Linked DNA regions of Rhinolophus ferrumequinum. The protein of the gene in region 2 interacts with the protein of the main gene of each other region in a biochemical or structural test. Links are inferred from orthologs where the notes say so. Each region holds a gene or a part of one and is shown on either strand. Other genes may lie near its edges.

The links.
Region 1: the proteins of KBTBD7 (region 2) and GABARAPL1 form a complex in vitro, tested with the Homo sapiens proteins (2 studies listed by BioGRID and IntAct, with this or other methods). The link is inferred for Rhinolophus ferrumequinum from reciprocal best matches to the Homo sapiens genes KBTBD7 and GABARAPL1.
Region 3: the proteins of KBTBD7 (region 2) and MAP1LC3C form a complex in vitro, tested with the Homo sapiens proteins (2 studies listed by BioGRID and IntAct, with this or other methods). The link is inferred for Rhinolophus ferrumequinum from reciprocal best matches to the Homo sapiens genes KBTBD7 and MAP1LC3C.

The regions. Positions count from the first base shown.
Region 1 is NC_046293.1:25,902,287-25,909,354, reverse strand, and holds the start of GABARAPL1 (gamma-aminobutyric acid receptor-associated protein-like 1), read right to left. Parts: upstream 3,005-7,068; 5' UTR 2,733-3,004; coding exon 2,643-2,732; intron 1-2,642. UniProt on the Homo sapiens protein: Ubiquitin-like modifier that increases cell-surface expression of kappa-type opioid receptor through facilitating anterograde intracellular trafficking of the receptor. Involved in formation of autophagosomal vacuoles.
Region 2 is NC_046287.1:8,877,881-8,885,387, reverse strand, and holds the start of KBTBD7 (kelch repeat and BTB domain-containing protein 7), read right to left. Parts: upstream 3,015-7,507; 5' UTR 2,849-3,014; coding exon 809-2,848; 3' UTR 1-808. UniProt on the Homo sapiens protein: As part of the CUL3(KBTBD6/7) E3 ubiquitin ligase complex functions as a substrate adapter for the RAC1 guanine exchange factor (GEF) TIAM1, mediating its 'Lys-48' ubiquitination and proteasomal degradation.
Region 3 is NC_046310.1:18,307,886-18,314,798, reverse strand, and holds the start of MAP1LC3C (microtubule-associated proteins 1A/1B light chain 3C), read right to left. Parts: upstream 3,005-6,913; 5' UTR 2,931-3,004; coding exon 2,873-2,930; intron 2,771-2,872; coding exon 2,715-2,770; intron 2,540-2,714; coding exon 2,433-2,539; intron 382-2,432; coding exon 222-381; 3' UTR 1-221.

The sequences.
Region 1 (7,068 bases), on a different chromosome or scaffold from region 2:
AGCACTGTGTCTAGCAGGAGCTCTGAGACCTGGCAGCTCCAGCTCCAATCAAGAGATGGAAACCACAAGAAGCTAGCAGAAAGAGGGCAATAAAGCTAGCCAACCGCAAAGAAAATATCAGCAGGGGAGGAGGGACTTGGAGGGGAACAGGAAGAGGAGGAGTAATCATTTAGGCCCTGGTTTACCAGAAAATATTTCGGTTTTCAGGAATCCCAGCTCTACTCCACAGTGGGCCCTGGGTTAGCTGCTTTTCCTGTCTGCTTCTCTGTTTTTCTGCAAAATGAAATGTGGCTAATACTCCTTAGGGCTGTTCCTGAATTAAAAAATATATATATACAATCTGTTCCTAACAGTTTCCTGCTATGTTGCAGGTTTTCAATACACTGTAGCTATTAAGATCATTGCAAGAGCCCATGAAACCCTCCTCTCCCAAGGCACATGCACACATAGTCAGGTATGGCAGCTCTAGAGATATTGTTGGGGTTAAGCTTGAGTTATGTGAACAGTCAGGGTATGTGATTGCTGTACCACCAATGGTCCAGCTGAAAGGGGCTTTGAAAATCATTTACTCTAACCCTCTTTTTTTGTAAACAGGACACTTTAGCACAGCAAGATTAAGGGTTGTGCCTGGAACTGGAATCAAATCTCAGAACTCAAGACAGCAGAGCTCTTCCTCCTGCGTCACAACTAGAAAGAAGGTCATAGGCTGAGTACCTAAGGAGCAGTTGGAAGGCTTATCACTGGTTAAAAGATAACTGGAGGGACCAGGAGAACTGACTGATGGTCCTAATAGCTTACAAATTAAACAGTTTTGTAAAACATTTAACTCCAAATTATGAGCAGCAAAACAACAGTGGGGGTGGGGTGATGAGCAGAAATATTCTGGGTGAAAGCATGTAAATGATTGAAATGGGAAGGGTTTGGTTTTAAGGAAACCCATGGGAATTTCACCTCAATTTGGGAACTGGTACATTTCAGAGTTTGTAACTTACACAGAGCTACTGGAACAGAGCCTCATACTGCTCTGTGAACTCTTAAGGGAAACAAGAGTTCTTTTCTCTATTTCCAATACCTAAGACTGTGAGGTACACAGTGCACCCTTAATTCTGTCTAATAGAACTGCATTAGAATGCTAATAGAAATAGCAAACCAGCTGCAATCTGGGGTCTGCCACAGAAGAGCCATGTGAAAATTTTAGGAAATCACTTCTCTGTGCTTCAGTCTTCATCTGTAGGATGGGCATTATAATGGTGTGAGGATTAAGTGAATGACTATAGACACAGTATTCAGAATACGCCCAGGCACATGGTAAACTATCAATAAAAGTTACTTGTCACTTCTAAATGTTATTATAATAGAGTATCACCAGAATTGGGAGAAAATTTTATAGTTGTCATTCAAGGTCCAGGGACCAGGGAGGGAAGGATTAGGGAAGGATCTCTTTTGTGTGCAACTCCCAGGGAATGAATGAAACCAGCCCTCAAGTCTCCTCTTCCTTATAGGAAAAGGACGGCAAGGGGTTTATACCGCTGGCCTAAAGCCCAGGCTTCTTCTGGTAGCTGTGAGACCATGACAGATTAAGGATTGGAGAGGAGGCCCAAAGAGTACCTGCGGGTCAAAAAAGCAAATCAGATCATCGCAATTCCTTCACCTGTAAATTATTTGTAACATTTATCTTAATGACCCTGTCTGAAGATAAAGAGCACAATCTTAAAAGTCTCCGCTCCTCCATTTCCAAAATTCAACGGTTGTTCCCTCTACCACACTTAAGTCGTCTGCCTTCCAATCCGGCTGCGCAGCCCACAGGAGAGAAAAACCAGGCAAGTGGCGGGGGAGGGGTGATGGGAAAAACGCCCGGATGCAGAAAGATACCTTAATATTTCTCCTCTGTTCCTCCTCGCTGCCTACACGAGATTTAATTACATAAACCAGGGTTCAAAACGGAGAGAAAAAGGCCTTAGTCCTTCTTGATTGTGCCCAGCTACAATCTAATCAGATAGGTACCGGGGAAGGCTGGCTGCCCCCGTACATGTCGCCGGAGCCAAGAATGATGAGGCAACCCGGCTGTTGCGCAGAGAACGTGACCTTGTTTTCTGGGCCAGTCCTGTCTTGTGGCAGCCCCCTGCCCCCCAACTCCCAGTCCTCACAGTATAAAAGGATTCCCTGGCTTCCCAGCCTTTCCCTCCCAAAGCCAATGCTACGAGGACTGAAGTCAACTTGATTAAGGGAGAAACAGAAATCTATGGGAGCAATCCCCACGGCATCAATTATTCCCAGAAAACTTCCCTGCGATCTCAAAGGCAGCAAATGTGTGGTCCTGACCGAATCATTCTCGCACAGAAGGGCCACATTTTGAGCACATCACAACCTAAATAGCCTCTGAATACTGCTGAGTCACTCAAACGTAGGCTCCGCTCAAAGGAAGCGGTCAGCTCTAAAGATGGGTATGGGCCCCGGGGATACAGGTTTTAAAAGGTCCGCAGTCAGAACGTCCATTCCATTGGCTCTCCTCGCAGTGAAGGCCATTCAGGGGTAAGTAATTTTAGGGACCAGCGTTCTTCAGTGCCTTAGGGCAGCCATCACGACTCTCCCGCCCCCCGATATTCCCTTCTCCTCCCCCTTCCCGCTCCCCTTGCACTCACAGGGACCCTATCAGGATATTTCTTCCGGATCTTTTCTCCTTCCTTTTTCCGATACTCAAATGGATGGTCCTCCTTATACTGGAACTTCATGATGAACCGCAGGGTTTCTAAGATCCCCGGACGGGGCCTGCCTTCCTCGCTGATGATTGCGTCTCTTGGGTCTTATTCCCTCCGCCAAATTTCAATGTGTCGGAATCGCTTCAGAAATGGCAGCTCCTGTCGCAACGCAGCTTGGTAGAGCTTCTGAAGGGATCTCGGGTGCCCTAGCCTGCAAGTAGGAGATGGCCAGGTAAAGAATTCCCGGTGGCTTTTCCCGAGAGCTGGCAACACAATAACAACACGGCGGCGCGTTGGTATTGTGACGTCACGGCGCCCCGCCCTTCATCCCGCCCCCAGCGCTCTGGACCGCGCGAGTTGGGGGTGGACAGACACTGTCGGTTTCAGTGTATTCTTCTTCTATCGAAACTTTACCTGAACAGAGTTCTCATGCAAATGAGAACAGTTTTTACTTCTTATTTTATTGATAATGTGGCATTAAAGGTGGTTTTAAAACAAAACATTTTCTAAAGATGTCTTTTTCCCTCTCCCTCGCTGTTTCTTGGTTGGATCCAAAAACAAACACACTGGAAGAAAATCCAGCTTTTTCCAGCTTGTTAGGATCTGAAGTCTGGGGGAAGGAGGGATCAGGGTCCTGGAGTTTATTTGGCCAGTGCAGACGTGCCAGGCACTTGCATTTTGCCCTTTGCTCCTTCATTTGCCACCTCCAGGAACCTCGGGAGCTAGGCTGGCTTCCTCTGACCGTGACCCTTCCTTCACCACGTTCGCGTCATTTTGTTTGGGTCCATGCCGCAGTTGCAATTTGTTCCTGGAGCAGGAACGTAAACAAAACGTGACTCAGGAATTTGAAAAGACACATTAGGTAAAGGACATCAGATGTAATCAAGGTCCAGAGAAGTGGTGTCAGTCTTAACTACTAAGGGCTTCACGCCTTTTCAAATATAGAAATGATTCATTTTCTCCTATTAACGCAGAAGTTGGGCCTATCTGATGGAAAAGAAAATATCAAGTGATCTAAGTGATTAACTCAGTGGTTCTCAAACATTCTTTTCTCTTATGCAAAAATTCACCTGAAGGTTAGTACTGGTTAAGTATCCCTAATGTGAATAGAAAGTGCCACCTGAAAAGGGGGAGTGGAGGACTCTGGGTGGTGGGCCAGGTGCCAGTATCACCTCTCTCTGGCCCTCCCCTTTCTCCAACAAGAATCAAAAGGACTAAGGCCTTTCCAACCACTGTTCCTGGCAGTGATTCCAGGAACCTATGGTGGGGGACAGAGGAAATTGTGAAAGATAAGGGTGAGGACAGGCTGGTCTGCCCAAAACAAGGGAGCTCTGCTAACTATTAATATATTAGAAAATGGCAGCCCCTATCTACTTTTGTCAAGGTCTCAGTGTCTCTGATTTAAAAAACAAATCCACAAAAGAAACTGAGTTTCATTATTGAAACGAGAATGAATTACATAGCCCTACTTCTTGATGTTAATTTTTTTTCTCCATGGTATCTTTCAGTCCTTTTTATGTGTGAAAATCCAGGAATTATTTTATCACATTATATTTTTATAATTTTTATTCCTTATTTTCAAATTGAAATTTTCAGCTTATTTTAGCTTCGGTTCAAATAGAGCTAAATGTCTCAAAGGAGAACCTTACAACCAGTTGAGAAAAGTAATTACGATGAAGATTAATATTTTAAGACTATTATTCTATGATCAAATCTACTGGAAACAATCGTAGCTAGTTAAAAATACTGATTTTAACTTTTAAAAATACCTAAGCACAGTGGCAATTTATATATGAAAAATAATTTGGAGATGGAATTTCGATTAATCTTTCTGCCTCAAGGCTTTTCTAAATGCTAATGCTTTATTGTAGAATACACAATCTGTGAACTTCCAAAGTTTGCTCTCTGCCTGTATTCTCAGCATAACATTTAATATATTACACAAAATGTAATATTCTCTTAGTTCATATGTGAGAAATTTTAAGGAAAGATTCTGATTAGTCTTTTATAAGTCACCTGGCCTTCTTAATGGTCAAGGCAGTGAGAATCTATGATTTGTGGGTCCCACTAGAACTACGCAGTGGTTAGTGTGGGAGGAGTAGCTTCCTACAAAGCAATGTATACCTCCGCCGCCAAAAAAAAAAAAAAGAGAGAAGGAATGGACATGGTATTATCTAATGAACAATACATCATTTATGTGTCCTGTGACAAAAATAAGCACACAATGCTTTCAGAGCACATTGTAAAGACACAGAGGGACCCAGGCAAATGGGGGTTAAAAGAAAGGCTTCCTGAAGAAGGCGATGCCTGAACTAAGCTCCAAATGATTTACAGGAATTAGGCCAAAAAAAAGAAAAAAAAATAGGAGAAAATGTTTTTACAGGAAGATCATTTGACGATATCCAATGACCATAAATAAGGGCAATATAGGGAAAGAAGTAATTTAAATAATTTAGTATGCCTGGAACATAGACTACAAAATACGAAATGGCTATATATGAGGCTAGAGAAATAAGTCCCTTTTTTAATTATGGCGTTTTGATGATGTACGATCAGAGGCTTACAGTAGCCACTGTATTCATTTCATAAAATCTAAATTTGCAGTCTAAATGCACCAGTCCAACATAAGAAAGATAAAGAAGATGTCAGTCAGAGACTCATGATGTATAGATAGGGATAGAGATAAATGTAAAGATAGAGTTGGAGGGAGAACTAATGGCATTTAAGTCCCTAGTTTCAGGTAGTCTCTGTGCTATTTGGTAACATGTTACTTGTATTTATATCCTCAATGCTTTGGATACAAAATGAAGACTCAAAAAGTGCATAGTATGTCTATGGGGACAGAGCCAGGAGCGCAGTTTCCAGGCTCTCACCCTCACGTGGAAAGGTGCTCACTGGGGTAGTAAATGGCCATCAACTGTGATGGGATGGCCATCAGCTGTGGCTAGTTGGCCGTCAGCTGTAACCAGTGAGCCATTGGCCACTAATATAACTGCTGTGGCTACGCTAACAGAAAATGGGGGCTGGCAAGAAGGTGGTGGCTAAGCTAGCAAGAGCAGATTGCAGTTAGCACAGCAGAGTGTGGATTGCGGATTGCAGAGAGGCGGATTGCAGTTAGCAAGTGAGGTTGGTTGGCAGAAACAAGTGGACGGCGGGTTGCAGATCGTGTGGCTCCTGCTTCCTGTGTCTCCAACCCAGGCGCCAGTGAGACTATAGCGGTATGACTCTCCTATCTATGGCTCCGTGGGTGTTCCTTTTTGGCCTCACCATATCCTGCATTCTTATGTGGGGAGCGGGAGCTGAGACCCTGCATGACACCGTGCATGACAATGTCATAGTCAAGAAAGCAAAGGGTAGACTACTGATTTAAGATGGTGGATTGAAAAAGATATAGTTTTCTTTGTTGTCTCCTGAAAATCCACTAAATCAACTGTGTCATAGGTTCAATTATGTCCCCTGAAGAAATGTTGAAGTCTCAACACCCAGTATCTATAAATGTGACTTTACAAATAGGGTCTTTGCAGATAATCAAAAGATGAGGTCATTAGGGTAGGCCTTAATCCAGTATAATTGGTGGCCTTCTAAAAAGGAGAGCATTTCGACAAAGAGAAAGACATGCAAAAAGGAAAGAGGATTTAATATACATGCTTTATGTATAGTATGTGTATATGCATTAACCCCTGTAATCCACACATAATAATATAATGTATATGTACTCATTTTATCATTTTACAACTTAAGAATTTGAAGCATAGAATGATTAAGTGACTACACCATGATTGGACAAGGAGTAAGGAAAAAGCCCAAAAGCCTGGTTTTAGCCTCTTATTCAATAATAGTCTTTTTGCCACGACCCATTATACTCATCTAATTAAAATTACGATATAACTATGCTTAGAAGATAGGAGGCACAAGAAATGTTCAGATGTGTCATGGTAGCAAAGGTAGGGATCATGGTAACGAAAAGGGGTAAATTTTATTTCTTCTATAACGGCAAGTTGATAGATGATGCACCAAACTGAACATAAAAATCAAGAATAGCAATATATGCATAGTATTTGTTGAAATGTAGATTTTACAAAGTCAGCTGAAAAAGTAGGGCGTATGCGTACATGTACGGGGGTAGTGGGAAGGTGCTATTTTTCTTCACAATCCTTATAGAGCTCTTTGACTTTTTAATCTTCATAAATGCATACATTTAATTCAAATAATAAAATTAAATTTAAAAATAAGAGCAAAAGTTTTTTCCATTTGGTATTTCAAGCCTGAGGAAGTTGAGTATAAAACCAACTCAGACATTCAGATCCCTGCAAGTTACATCACTTCCTGCAATTCAGCCTCCAAAGCTGACAAAAGGGAACACACAGTT
Region 2 (7,507 bases):
TATTTATTTCTCTTTTGGTTTAGAAGGGTGTTTAAATAATTGGTGACACTACTAGAATGGATGTGTTTTAGATTAAAAAATGGTCACATTTATTAAATATACATTTTATATTCCAAAATTAGAAGCTAAATTTCTTTTAAAACAGTGGAATCCTGATTTATTTTTATTTTCTGTGAGCTCTTAAGACCATTCTGCACTATATCAAAATGAAATCGCTATTTAATAATCTTTATATGTTCAATTTCTTTCCTTTGCAAAAGGGAAGAAAACGAAACCAAATTTAACAAACTATATTAACCTAGAATACTAAAAACTGACTACTTTAGAATTTGGTAAATCTATTTTCATTATTCTGAAGGAAAATATAAACCTTCAAAACCATAGCAACACTTTCTAGTCCAATTTTCTATTATAAAACTTAAAAAGTTAAATGCCTCGTGGCACTAAATAGAATTAAAAAGTTAACTGAAGACTAAATTAGATAACCAAAATATAAGCAGTGTAACTAACCATAACAATTCACTGGTACAATGAATACTTGAACAATGAAAAAAACCACCAAGCATTTTAATCAATTGTACACTTCATTTTTTGCATATTTTAATCTCGACTTTTAGCACAGTAAATTATTATATAGGTTAATTTTGTGGACTGTTTTTAAATTTTGGAACGTTACATAAGTAATTCAACATTACGCTTTCTAAACCAAATCTGTGGTACTAATCAATTTTTTTTTCAGGAAAAGGAAAGGATATCTTTTTAAAATACATTCCATAGCAGTAGAATCACCTGTAGTGTTTCCAAATATTTACAAAGAGCCCTGCGGATCCTGTGCATTTCGCTGAGGTGCTACCTGCACCCAGACTTCATCATCAGAAAAAGAACTTGAACTTCCTGACTCAGAGTCCAGCTCACTGAATCCATCTAAGTCCCATTCAGTACTAGACTCACTCCGTGCATCATCTTCCTCAGTGATGAAACTCTGACCAGGTTCAAGGCAAGAAGGATAAACACGAGCACAGAGGCAAATAAAGCCCGAGTCAAACTGCAAAAGACCTAACATTGTGCCTATATTAATCCATAGGTCTTCCCTAGTATCATATTCGTACACAGTCACCCGGTTTTTTTTCCATTGTGGGGTGGTAGAAGTGATGAGAAGCAACTTTTGGCCATGATTGACAATCTGATAGTTGTGGGTCTCTGAGTCCAGGGGAATATTACTAATCCTCCGCCATTCTCCCCTGGCTGGGTTATAGACCTTCATGACGGGGATGTCACAGATGCAATAGATCTCATCATTGAAGACACAGGCTTCCTGAAAGTCACTACGTTTAAGAGAAGCACAGTTCAACCACATATTGTGACTAGGATCATAGCAGAGCATGCGTTTACTGTTCACAGCATAAAGATAGTTCTGAACCACTATTAATTCGAAGGAATAGAAGGAGTGGGGAACAGGAGCCACCAGTGCCCACTGGTTTCTCTGAACACTGTAGCATTCCACTTCCTTCAATTTAACTCCAGTAATAGGGTCTCGCCCACCCAAGATGTAAATGTACCCATTAAGGTATGCCACATCCATGCCCTCACGGCAGAGCAAGCGATCTGCAAGTTGCTGCCAACTGTTCTGGGCTGGTTTATACACCCAGAGGTCTTTCCTGGGCTGGGCAGCTAGATAGATGTCATGGTCTGGAGAGACGCAGACAGCTGAGGAGGTGATAGTCTTAGTGTGGGCCAAGCTGGTCAAAGGTGAGGGCATTGTGTAAATGTCCCCTGAGTATGGGTCATAGCAGAGAAAGGGATCTCTGGGATGTCCAAAGAAGATCACCATCTCCTTGGCACACACACCCAGCCTCTGGGGTGGATTTTCTGCTGCAGAAACAACAGAGCTGCTGCTGCACTCTGGCTTTGGCACCAGAGACTTGTACAGTATGTCACCATATCGCATCTGCAGGGCCCCTTCAATAAGGTCCAGACAGTACTTCTTCACAATGGGCTTGGTTAGCAGCGCTTCCAGGTAATCCTGATCTTCATCAGTGAAGTGTGTCCAGCGGACACACTTGAAGACTTCCGCAGCGCTGGGACCCCGCTCCTTGGGAGCCGCTTCCAACCACTGCACCGCCACGTGACACACCGTTTGCTCACTCTCGATGTTTAAACTATCCAGGCGCAGCACGGCCAGCAGCTGGGCCAAAGTCAGATCTGCCAGGGTCTCCTCCCGAATCGAACCCATCCGGCTGAGCTGCTTGAAGTTGTGGGCGATGAAGGACTGGGCCTGTGAGCGCAGCTTGTGGTGGTCGAAGGCGTCGGCGAACTTGAGAATGGCGGTGCAGTTGGCCAGGTCAAGGCGGCGGGCTAGGAAGGAGGCACAGGCTTCCCGCACGTACTCGAGCTGTAACATGTCCGAGGCTGCATAAAGGCGCTGCACGTTGGACTCGCTTAGCGACACGCGACCCGTGTAGCAGTATTCGACCAACACCTCGAAGGACTCGGCATCCACATCGTGCATGGTCACGTTTGCCTGCTGGCTCTCGTACATGCCGCCGGTGAACATGCTCTTGAAGTAGGGACACGCGGCAGCCAGCACGTTACGGTTGCAGGGGAAGAGGCGGCCCGTGCCAGGCCCACTGCCAGGCGTCACCACCTCGATGGTCACATCACACAGCAGCCGCGCGTCGTAGAAGGACTTGAGCTGTGCCAGCAGGGCTGCAGAATGGGCCGTGTCCTTCAGCTCCTCAGGGCCCGCGAAAAAAGCCGAAACTGAGGGCTTGGAAATCCTCTTGGGCCGCCTCCCACCACGGGGACTGGAGAGGCGGCGAGAGCGCGGAGCGTCTTCCCGAGACTGCATGGTGGAGATGGCCGCGGTGCTGAGGTGAGAACCCGGGCAAGGACGGAGCTCCGGCTCCGCCTCAATCTGCTCTAACCAGCGCAGATAGGCGCTTCCCTGTATAGGGGCCGCACCTTTTAAACTCAGCCCCACGCAGCGGTGCCGCCTCCTTTTATCGCGTAGACAGTGTCTTACTCACCCTTTCCAGTTCCGCGCCCCCCCTTTTTTTTTTTTTTTTCACCTCAGCTCGCCCTCAGTGAACCCGCTGACTGGAACCAAGTGAGCCACCACTGCTGCGCTGACGACACGGGATCCTGAACTACGACTCCCAGGCTGCTTTTCGCACTCGAGGCGTGCCTGGACAGTCCAGATGCTCATAGGCTGAATAATAGTAAGCCGCTTTGCACGTTGGGAGTGATAGCTTGAATAATATCGCGAGGTTTCTTGGGGCGGAGTGTTTCTTCAGGTAATAGAATTAGAGAGCGTTAATGCTCCTCGATTTAATGGTTTAAAACTTTGGCTTTGAAATACAAAGTAAAAGCCCCGTTTCAGTATTCATTAATTATGTCATTTCTCCCTGAAAACTTATTTGTAAAATGGGGATAATAGTATTCATAGGATTGTATTTGGATATAGAAAGTTTCAATAAATATTTGAGAACAAAAATTGTTTACACTGTGCTTAGTACATATTCAGTCAGCTTAGTACATATTCAGTTAGCTTTTATTTTAGAATTTATGAAAATTGAGACACCCCCTAATTTGAAACCATGAGCAATTTCTGAAAACTTACCGTTTTTAGTGTTGCTTCTTTTGAAAGGCTGTGAAGTGTATTACAATATTTATTTTCAATACTAAACGATATTCACAGGTTCATTAATATGTCTTAGACAAAATGAGATCCTAGAGGACAGCCATTGTAGATGGCCTCAGTTATGCAAATCAGGCATTAAATGGATGGGTTGACTCATCAAGTCAACACTTCATCTCCTGGGTAGCAAGACTATTTTCACAGCCTCTTCATGAGTGTTTGCAAGTCATCTAATACTGCTCCTTTCACTTCCTTTCCACAAATCAGTTGTAAATTCTGGAATTGTTTTTATTAAGTAGTTTTAATGAGAGTTTTAAAGTATAATATTTAAATAAACAGACCTTGTATTGTACACAAGCCAAGATCCTCAGAGTACCGTATTCATACATGCCCTGACATTTCTTAAATTTATGTAGTAGAGTCGATGCTTTACTAAATTGTTGACATAGCTATATAGATCAACATTATCTGCTAGTTAAATTGTCAAAATCAAGTGCTTAGAGACTTGATTTTTTTTAGTTTGGGAACTTTAATTTAAAAACTAGACTGCTTCTGCTGTTAGTTTGCCATGGGTCACCATTATGAATGAAATGTTTAGTATTACACGAATATGTAGACAACACATAGTAGGAAAATAACTCTCAACTTGTATTTCTCTCTTTTCCTATTAGCTAAAGTGGGTCTACTGGAAATACCCCCAGGAAATAGACATTAAATTAAGTGGGGCTCTGGGCCCCAATGTCTCCTCTGTACCTCAGTTGGGTGTCCCTCAGATATACCAGAAAGAATTAAGTCATTAGTAACTCTGATTGCTTTCTCATCTGCACTAAACACAAGCTGGGGTAAACAGCAATTTAAAAAATTATATTGGTAAAATATACATAACATATAGGTTACCATTTTAGCAATTTTGAAGCATACGGGTACATTTCTTTGGCATTAAGTACATTCACATTGTTTTGCAACCATCACCACCATCCATCTCCAGAACTGTTTTCATATTGCAAAATTGAAAGTTTGTATCCATTCACAGTAACTCTCCTTTCGCCCTCTCCAAAACCCCTGGTAACCACCATTCTACTTTGTCTCTGAATTTGACTACTCTACATGCCTCATATAAGTTAAGTGATTGATTTTTAACTTCCTTATATCAGTCCATACTTTGTTATTTGGTTTATATTATCTTTCACGGAATCTGAAATATTTAGTAGACACAGTGCCCTAAGGTCTAGAGCAGTGCTGTCACAGAACTTTGTGCGATGTGCAAATACTTAATATCCGCCCCACTGATATGGTAACCAGAAGCCACCTGTAGCTCTTGAGAACTTGAAATGTGGCCAATGCAAATGAGGAACTGAATTTTAAATTTTAGAAACACAGCATTGGTATCGATGAAATTCAGTGGAGAAAGAAGTCTCTTAGACAAGTGGTGTTGGAACAACTGGATCATAATGTGAAAAAAAACATTAACCTTGACCCTTATACCATAAACTTATACCATAAACAAAAATTAATTTGAAATGGATCTTAATGTAAAACAGAAAATTGAAAACCACAAAGCTTCTAGAAGAAACCATAGGAGACTATCTCTGTGACTGTGAGGTAGGCAAAGATTTCTTAGGATACATGAAACATTAACATTAAAAAAAATTGATAGGGGTGGCAGGTTAGCTCAGTTGGTTAGAGTGTGGTGCTAATGACACCAAGGTTGCCGGTTTGATCCCCGTATTGGCCATTGTGAGCTGAGCCCTCCTTAAAAAAAAAGAAAAGAAAATTGATAAAATGAATTTCAACAAGATTACAAGCTTTGTCCAGGAAAAGCAATGAAAACAGGGACAGCTGGTTAGCTTAGTTGGTTAGAGTGCAGTGCTCTTAATAAAGTTGCTGGTTCGATTCCCACATGGGCCACTGTGAGCTGTGCCCTCCACAAATAGATTGAAACAACTACTTGACTTGGAGCTGACGGGTCCTGGAAAAACACACTTAAAGTTGTTTTTTTAAAAAAAGCAATGAAAACAAAATAAAAAGGCAAGTCATAGACTGGCAAAAAATATTCATAATACATATAAGCCAATGGCCAATAAACATGAAAGCCCATCAATGTCATTCATCATGAATGCAAATTCAATTCACAATGAGAAAATACTGCACAGCCAATAGAATGGCTAAACTTAAAAAGATCAATAAGAGCAAATGTTGGTGATTATAGGGAGCCATTGGAACTCTCATATATTAATTATGGGAATGTAAATTGGTATGTCCCCTTTAAAAAACCGTTTGGTAGTTTTTTTGAATGTTAAATGCCCAATAATTTCACTGCAATTTCCAAGGGAAATTAAAACATATGTCCACGAAGTGTTCACAGTAGCCTCATCCATAATAGCCCAAAACTGTAAATATATATGTGCATCAAGGAGAATGAGAAAAATTAATTGTGGTATATTCATAGTGTAATGCAAGTCAGAAATAAAAAAGAAACAAACTTTGATGCACATAATAATGTAAACAAGTTTCGAAAATTTTATGTTGAACAAAAGAAGCCAGATACACAAGAGTACATACTGTATGACCGTCTATGCTAAGTTTCAAAACAGTGAAAATAAGCTATGGTGAATAAAAATCATAATAAAGGCTGCCAGTGTGGGTTGGTGGATTTCTGCATTGGCTGCAGAGGAACCCAAAGAAACTTTCAGGAGTGATAGAAATGTTCTCATCTTGATTGGACTGAAGGCTGCACGGGTGTATGCAATTGTCAAATTCAATGAACTGTCTCTTAAGATCTGTGCATTTAATTTACTGTAAATTATACCTCCTAGGAGGAGCCACTTGGTAATTGCTAGCAGTAAATCAAGTTGCAGAATTCTTTGCCAGGAAATCGTGAAGATAGCTCAGTCATAAACTAAGACTCCCCACGTGTAGAGGCCAACAAGGCTCCAGTTTTCAGTAGATGTGGCTGGTGCTCCGTACACACCTGGACAAAGGTGCCTCGGGACAATTTTTAAGGGTCTCAGCATACTGGAGGTCTTTCAAATTTATAAAGTTAGCTGAGCACCCAACATTCCATTCCAGTCTTCTTATTCCTGATACAACTTCATTAACACACATATACTAGTTCTCTGTGTTTGCTAAAAATCTCTTATAATTTGCATAATCCTTACAAGGGCATCTACGTTCTTGGCAGAAAGATAAAAGAGCTGTTTTTACCTGGTCATTAAGTCTCTATCAATGACAAATCTTGATTCTAGTTCTTCAAGAACCTTCAACTCTGTTCATGAATCTAACATCAGAGTCTCCTTGGCCCTTTTTCTTCTGAGGAGGCTGAGGTATCTCACTGGCTCTGCCCCCATTTCCATTTCTGGGTGACTCCAACATTTTTGTTTTGTAGCTCAGACATCTTTCCTGGGGCAGCCTCTCTCATCTTCCTTTCCGAATAATGGCTTCCTGAAGTCCTGTTTCTGCAGATCGGTTTCCATTTATTTCAGTCCTCTGCTTTCTGGAACCCATTCACCCCAGTGTTTACTCTAATCACTGTAAGTACAAAGTATTTCATTTGTTTGTCCTTTATAAAAATCTTTACACACTTTGCTTCATAAAGATGCCCATGAAAGCAAAGCAGCCGTTCACCTTCCCGGAATTTAGGCTTTGGTGGTATTTATCAGTGATTCTGCACACAATCTTCTCCCATCTGAGCGTGAGTACTGCCTCTATTCTCCATCCTACCAGCTCAGGTCAGGGCTGTGGCAGGCGCCATCAGCTCTACATCCTGGGCTCCCTCATATTGTTTTTCGCTCTGATTTTTAAATAGTCTACACACTATTCACTTTATGTCTATACCCAAAATGACTCACACTGCCTTTAGTCACTGGCAGC
Region 3 (6,913 bases), on a different chromosome or scaffold from region 2:
AAACTCCCAGGGGCACCGCGTTTTCCCAGAGAACACAGGGCATGCGCACTAAAGGGGACAGGGCGCCGGCCTACCTGTCCCGTGGGCGCGGCTCCTGCGGGGCGGCCCTGCTCCCGTGGGTCCACCGCGCACAGGAGGAAGCCGCTCGGTTGGTCCCGCAGCTGGAGAGGATGGCAGGGCCCGCCCCGCCGGCTGCGCCATCCCTGGCGCCTCGGGGCCCCTCAGCCGAACATCTCCTGGGAGGCGTAGGTCATGTACACGAAGCCGTCCTCGTCCCGGTAGTCCCTGTAGATCTCGGCCATGGTCATGCTCATGCTGACCGTACTCTTGCTGTTCACTAGCAAGTAAAAGGCTTCAGTGGCCCCGAGGACCATGTGGCTCCTGGCATGGGGAGAGGGGCAGGAAGGGAGAAAGCTAACCTGGTGGGAAAGGGCATGGAGCCAAAGCCTTACCTCCGGTGGCCACTGTAAACACGTCCATCCAAGATGCCCACCTCCCCACTCTGGTGTGTCTCCTCAAAATTGAGAATCACCCAGGAGAGGCCTGTTGAACATGCACATTCCTGGGCTGCAGCCCACAGCATTTGGTTTAGTAGATCTCAGAAGCAGCCTAGGTAGGAATCTGCAGGAGTGTGATGCTCAAGACAGCTGAATTGCTCCCTACTTCTTCCGCAAAAAAGGGCAGGCGTTCCCATCATGGACTAGGAGACACACCAACACAAAAATGCTAATGTGGAAGCCCCTCTTTGCTCTGAAATTAAAGGTAAGTATTTCCCCAGAAGTACAAAGGGGATCCCAATTTCCTTCAGCATCTCATATTACACAGCCTTGGGGGACCTTTAGAAGCAATCTACTGCCTCTCACTGTGCTCTTCCTTCCCCCTGCCCTTCTTCCCCTAACATCAAGGAGATAGCAAAGCAGTCAAATTTGACTGGACACGCTTTACAAGTCAAGGTCAATCTAAGTCCTGATTCACCCTGGAGTAGAGGACAGCATGACAACGTTACACTCAGGTAAAGGCTCAGCCTGGCCTGAAGCGCATATCCATTTGCTCTGCTTGGGGGGGCAGGCACAGCCTGCCCACTTCAGCCTCAGAGGTCAGGTGAGCTAGATCCATGCAGCCGTGGGAGACGGGGGTGGCTGGAGCCTGAGTAATTATACAACCAGCGAATCCCTTCCAGAATAACCCCAAAGATTTTAGCTCACAATTGCATGAGTGGTCTTTGGATAAAAAAGAACTGTTCTGCAACGGGAAGGGGTAGAGCTGGGAGGGAGTGTGTTGCCATTAGCTCTGAAGGAAGCTCTGTTTCCGGAGTCTGTACCTCCATTTCCTGTCTCTGCCATGCTCCCTTGTTATGAGGGTTGTGGCTTACCCCCTGGGGGAGAAGGCCGAGGGCAGGAATTTGTTCTATTCTGTCCACTGCTGTGAACACAGAGCCCAGAGAACACTCAGGACATAGTTGGTGCTCAATAAACACTGTGAACATCAAACGTGCGGATTGGGGTGTGGGCGAGGGGTGGTGGAGAAGACAGGAAGGCCCCTGACTAGGAAGGGGGGAAAGAATGCCTCTCAGAACTCAAAGGCTTGTTGGAGGAGGGAGGTCATCTACTGTTGCATCAAGTTGTTGGGATCTAATTCTTATTCTCGTTCTCCCTCAGTTGCCTGCAGTCACTAAGCCTCCCTGAGGAGAGGAATCAGAATAATCTTACTTATTGAAACAAATAGAACAGAGATTAACATATTTATAATGAATTCTTGAAGAAATAAGCTGCAACAGTTATCGGGTTTCCAAGGGCTGGCCCTTCCAGACTTCACCCTGTGAAGGATTACCTACCAGGTCATGTCCACATTACTCCCCAGTCATTTGTATTGAATCCATGGGTCAGGTGACACCACTTCACTGTCTTCAGCTTTAAAAGTAGTTACTACCTCTTTGCTGTGCCCTAACCCAAGGGAGGAATGTGTTCTGGGGACACCTTTGTGTCCCGCTTCTCAGACTCTGAGCAGTGTGGGGAACATTTGCCTTTTGTAGAGGTCTCCACTCCCCAGGCTCGCACACTCCAACAAGGTGCCGTGTCTCTACTGGGAAAACACTGGCCAGGTTTTCCACACTATTAGGAAGAAAGGATCTTCTGGACTCGTTTTGGAACCAAGACTACTTTAGGAAATTCTTAGAAATGTTAGCAGCTCTGACTGTCTTTAGATTTGTTATCTCAGAGGTTCTCCCACCTGTTTAAAATAGATGAATTCTCAGAGCATCTTTTCTGGGCACTGCAGAACCTACAAGGTGGTGAGTCACAAAGAAAATCCTTTCCCTCTCTTCTTCTGGGACGCCACCCCACCCCCCTATCCTCAATACCAAACAAACTATCAAAGCAAACAGAAGAAGCCCAGGACCATGCACACGTCCCCACGAGCACCGTGTCACCTACCGTATGATGCTGAGGAACTGGGCCACGGTCAGCTCCTGGGGGACCAGGAACTTAGTCTTGTCCAGCGGGGGCAGGAACTTCTCCCTGGAATAGCGCTCCACTACCACCTGTCGGGAGTTTCCGCCCTTAAGAATGTGACTCAGAACTCTCAGTATCTTAGAGTCTTACAACAGGGAGACAGAGAGAGTGGGTTTTTTGTTCCTGTTGTTGTTATTATTATTATTTTTTTTCCCAAGCAACAGAATAGTGTACCCCTTTTCCAAAAGTACAATGGAGTCTTACCGGGATCTTGTTTGGGAACTTTGCCCGGATTCCAGCCACTTCCTCTTGTCTGGTTGCTGTGAATATTTCAAGTACAAAAGAGTAAGGAAACGGCGAGAGCAGTCTGTATCCTTTTCCTTCTCTGTCTGGCAACCCAGACAGCTACCCGAGAACTTTACCTAAGCTCTTCCTCTGCTTGAATGGTCTGAGGCTTGGGCTTTTCTGCGGAGTCTGCATTTTGCTCAACAGCCCTGTCTGTGTCTGGCTTAAAAAAAAAAAAAAAAAAAATCCACAGCCAGGACCTAACTCATTCCTCCAGCTGCTTCCAACCCGCCTGCAGGAGGCTAAAGGAGGCCCTTATGTAGGGCTGTGTGACATCAGCCCTTTCCCTCTTCTTTACCCTCCCCCTCTCCCCCTCGCTGGGCAGGAGGAGGTCAGTTCTGAGGATTGAAACGGGACAGCCACCTGCTTATTGGTCAGAGAAAGTCACTTTGCTCAGGATCAGTTCAAGATAATTTTTTTTGCTGGAGAAATTAGGGTTCATAATAAAATCAGTGACTATGTAATCAAACAGCATAGTTTGAGGCTGAGAACTCTGGAGAGGTGGAACTGCCATTTGCAGAGGACCTTTTCGTACTTCAGTAATGAACCATCTTGAAGGAAGGCCAAGATGGATCCACCTGATGCTGAAATAGGCTATGTAAGTCTCACAACAGTCCTTGCCATTTTTCTCAGCGAGAAAACTATGATCAGAAATGTTAAGGAATTTGCCCAAGGTCACACAGCTAGTAAGAGAGGCAGCTGGGATTAAAACCCAGATTTGGTACCAAGTAGTGCTACACTCCAGTATATTCTGTTATCTTATCTTCTCTGCAATAATGGAGGAAAGGAAGCACAGTTATTACCCCCAAGGTCTCCCTTTAAGAGACAAGGAACAGAAGCCAATAGAAGTTAACTGATTTGCCTGGGCCAAATGGCTGGGAAGACACAGTTCTCGCAGGACCCAGAGTCCAGGGCTTGTCTCTGATACATATGCCATTTAGCTGGACCTTTAGACTCAGAATGAACAGAAGGAGTATGTGTCCTTCCTTCATTGATTTCCCAGCAAGGTCATTCAACAGAGTGAGGAGGCTTCAAATGAACAGAGTGCCGTAAAGGAAGATGATGGTAGGTCGTCCACATTTGCTGGGTGAATCAAAGGGAGCAGCTCTCAGAGCTTTAAGTTAGTGATCAGGAATGGACATCAAGTGATTAAGTGATGACATCACTGAAGAGAGGCGTGGCCTCACCCTCTCCCATTCTCTGTCTCTCTGTCTCTCTATCCTTGTCTCTCGATAACAAAGAGCAGGTATATAGTGCAGTTCTGGAATCTCGTGGCTTTCAAATCCATGATCTCATTGAAACGATTGCCTTGTGGGGGTGGGAAGGGCAGGTAGGATGAGCGTTTTGCAGATCCATGTCTACCCAGAATACACTGAGGTGGGGCCAACCCAGACCGTCCACTTCCCAGGGGTGGCTCCACATCCTGGACCAGGAAAAACTGGTTCCAGGCCTGGCCCTCCCTACTATCACCTCCATTTCTGATCTTGGATAAATTATTTCACTTTACTAAGTATGTTTTCCCTTTTTGCAAAATGATTATTTTTACCTCATTAAAGTGGTTAGTTTTACCTAATTCAGAGTATGTGTATGAGACTTACATGAACTGATTATGTAAAGCAGCTAGTACAGTGCCTGGCACTAAATCTGATGCTCAGTGTGTATGTCTCTCTCCCCACCAGGCCTCTTCAAAGCCCCCACAATCCCAGGAAAGTTCACATGACATCAGGTTTGAAGGCTGAAGGCAATAGCACTGGGTTGGGGACCAGGGAAAAATAACCCCCAGCTGCACTGTTTGGCCAATCGTTATTGGGAGGAAACATTGAGACGTTTCCTACCTGCCCGGCATTTCGCTTTCTCCTCTGGCACGTAGGATTATCATCTCGGCCAAGTCTACTTCTCCGGATGTAATGGGGGTGACAGAATAAAGGACTTGGGAAAATATTAAAATGTGGCAATACTCAGAATGTATCATCATTCAGCAGAGGAATGGCTATATTGTTTCTCTTTTGTTGCAAAGTTTCCTTTTTGAGAAGAGCAGAGTGTCCATGGGTACTGTGGGCCCCATCACGGTCCTTGGAACCTAGTTGGCAGAAGGTAACCAAAGACACATAATGTCGCGCCACACAGGTTGTGTAGGGAAGGAGATAGGAATAGCACTGTGGAAAATGGCTGGTGCCAGAGTGCCTAGGCTTGGTCCAGGAGCCCATCTACTGATATTTTAATAAACAAAACCGACACTGCCCATGATGTACAGTGGGAAATATTGCACTTCTTTGTCCTGCACACAAAGCACATGAAACACGAGCTGGCTGAGGCCATGTTGATTCCCTCTACCCTACACTTTCACCCACTCTCATCCCTCTGTCTGACCCATGTACTGGGAAGGGGGCTGGTGACAGGACACATGGAATCCTGGTACAAAAGAGAGTGAGCTAGTAAAATAAGAGGTGGCAGAGAGTGGGACACTTGCTGTTGGGTTAGGGAAGATTTATTCCCCTCCTCCCATAAACACACCTATGCCCCACCCTCCTTTTAAAAGAACAACCAGTCAACTTTCTCTTGCCTCTTCCAGACATGTGACTGTCATGGAAAGCAAAACTTTGACAACGCACCTGGGCTCTACATCTTGCTTACTTAACTTCTTTGAGCCTCACGGTCCTCCTTAGCAGAATGGACATGCTTTCTCATCTCAGAGAGTCGTGTGGAGATGAAAGGTGGGAATCTGCGTGATGTACACAGAGATATGGGTGACAGTAGGAGCTCATAATATGACGTCTCTCATACTGCTCGTGGCCTGTGGAGCTGGGAGCCCAGCCCCCGCTACTCACACTTCCTGAACCTTTTGCAAGAGTTGGCCGAGCTCAGTCTTTCCACTTAGCTCACTGCCTCTCCGCTCCGTAAACCCCTGCAGTCTGGAGTCTGTCCCGACACTAATGCATGCTCTCAGGAGGTCAGCAATAATACACACCAGCACCTCTTTGTAGCCCTTACCTTATTTGATCTTTCGTCCTTCAGCATGTGGCCGTGTGCATTTTCTCCTTCCAACAACTCTCGTCTTTCAGATTCCAGGATTCCATTTTCTTGGGGTTCTTCTCCCCCCACCGTCTCCTCCCTTCTCCAGCTGCCTCTCCCTCATTTGCAGAGCCAGTTCTCCTCAGAACCCCTAAGGAGATAAACAGAATATCCATTTATCCATAATAAATTCTCATTTCTTATGTGAATAGAAACTGTTCTATGTTTCTGGCCCTGTAGCGATCGGTCACCGCATCCATCGCAGGCAGTTGTGTGTAACAGCTGCATCGTCGCTGTGCCCATGGAGCTTTAGCATGAGCCCCCGACGATTGCCATCCTTCCCTTCTCATTGCTGCCCAGGCCCTTGCTATGTGCAAAGTTTAGAGTCACCAGTGCCACTTCTCCTGTCCCTTGATCTTGGCCTTTCCCTGGGCCCACCCAGTCCTCTTCTTGCTCTATATGCTTTCCGGGGATGATTTGAACCATTGCTGAGGAGTTTCCCAAGGTGACTCAGTTTCTCCTATGTGAGTTAAAATAGGCCTGTCCCTTGGCACCTGTGGGTGTGTGGGGCTCGGGGTGACTAGGACAGATCCATCTTGGTTCCTGTCCTGTCCTATTGTGGCTGCTGTCATTCATCCCTCTTGGCTACAAGCTCTGATTCTAGTGGGAAACTGGGTGGACAGTTATGACACCATGGAAGTGAAATGTGCACGTCTAAAGTGAGAGGCCGCTGCAAGCTGGCGGGCTGAGAAGAAGGAAGTCTTCATCACTGTGTCCACGTCAGGGAGGAGAGAGGTTCTGGAGGCTGCCGCAGAATGTCGCATGACTCCTTCAGTACATTGCCTGGACTTGGCGGCTTCACAGGGTCCATGGCGGGGGGATAGGAGATGTATGAGAGTGGCTCCTGCTGTCGCCTGGAGGCCCAGACATCCCGTCCTGATACGACTCACTCAGGATGAGAAGGGAACATCCAGGAGGAATCTCAAGGCAGAAAGCTGAAATTCAAAGTTATGTCATTCCGTTTTATTTTTTGCTTTTTATCATCAAGTGCCCTTTAAAAGGCTGCCTACCAGTAAGACTTGTTTATCTGATCAACATAAATGATT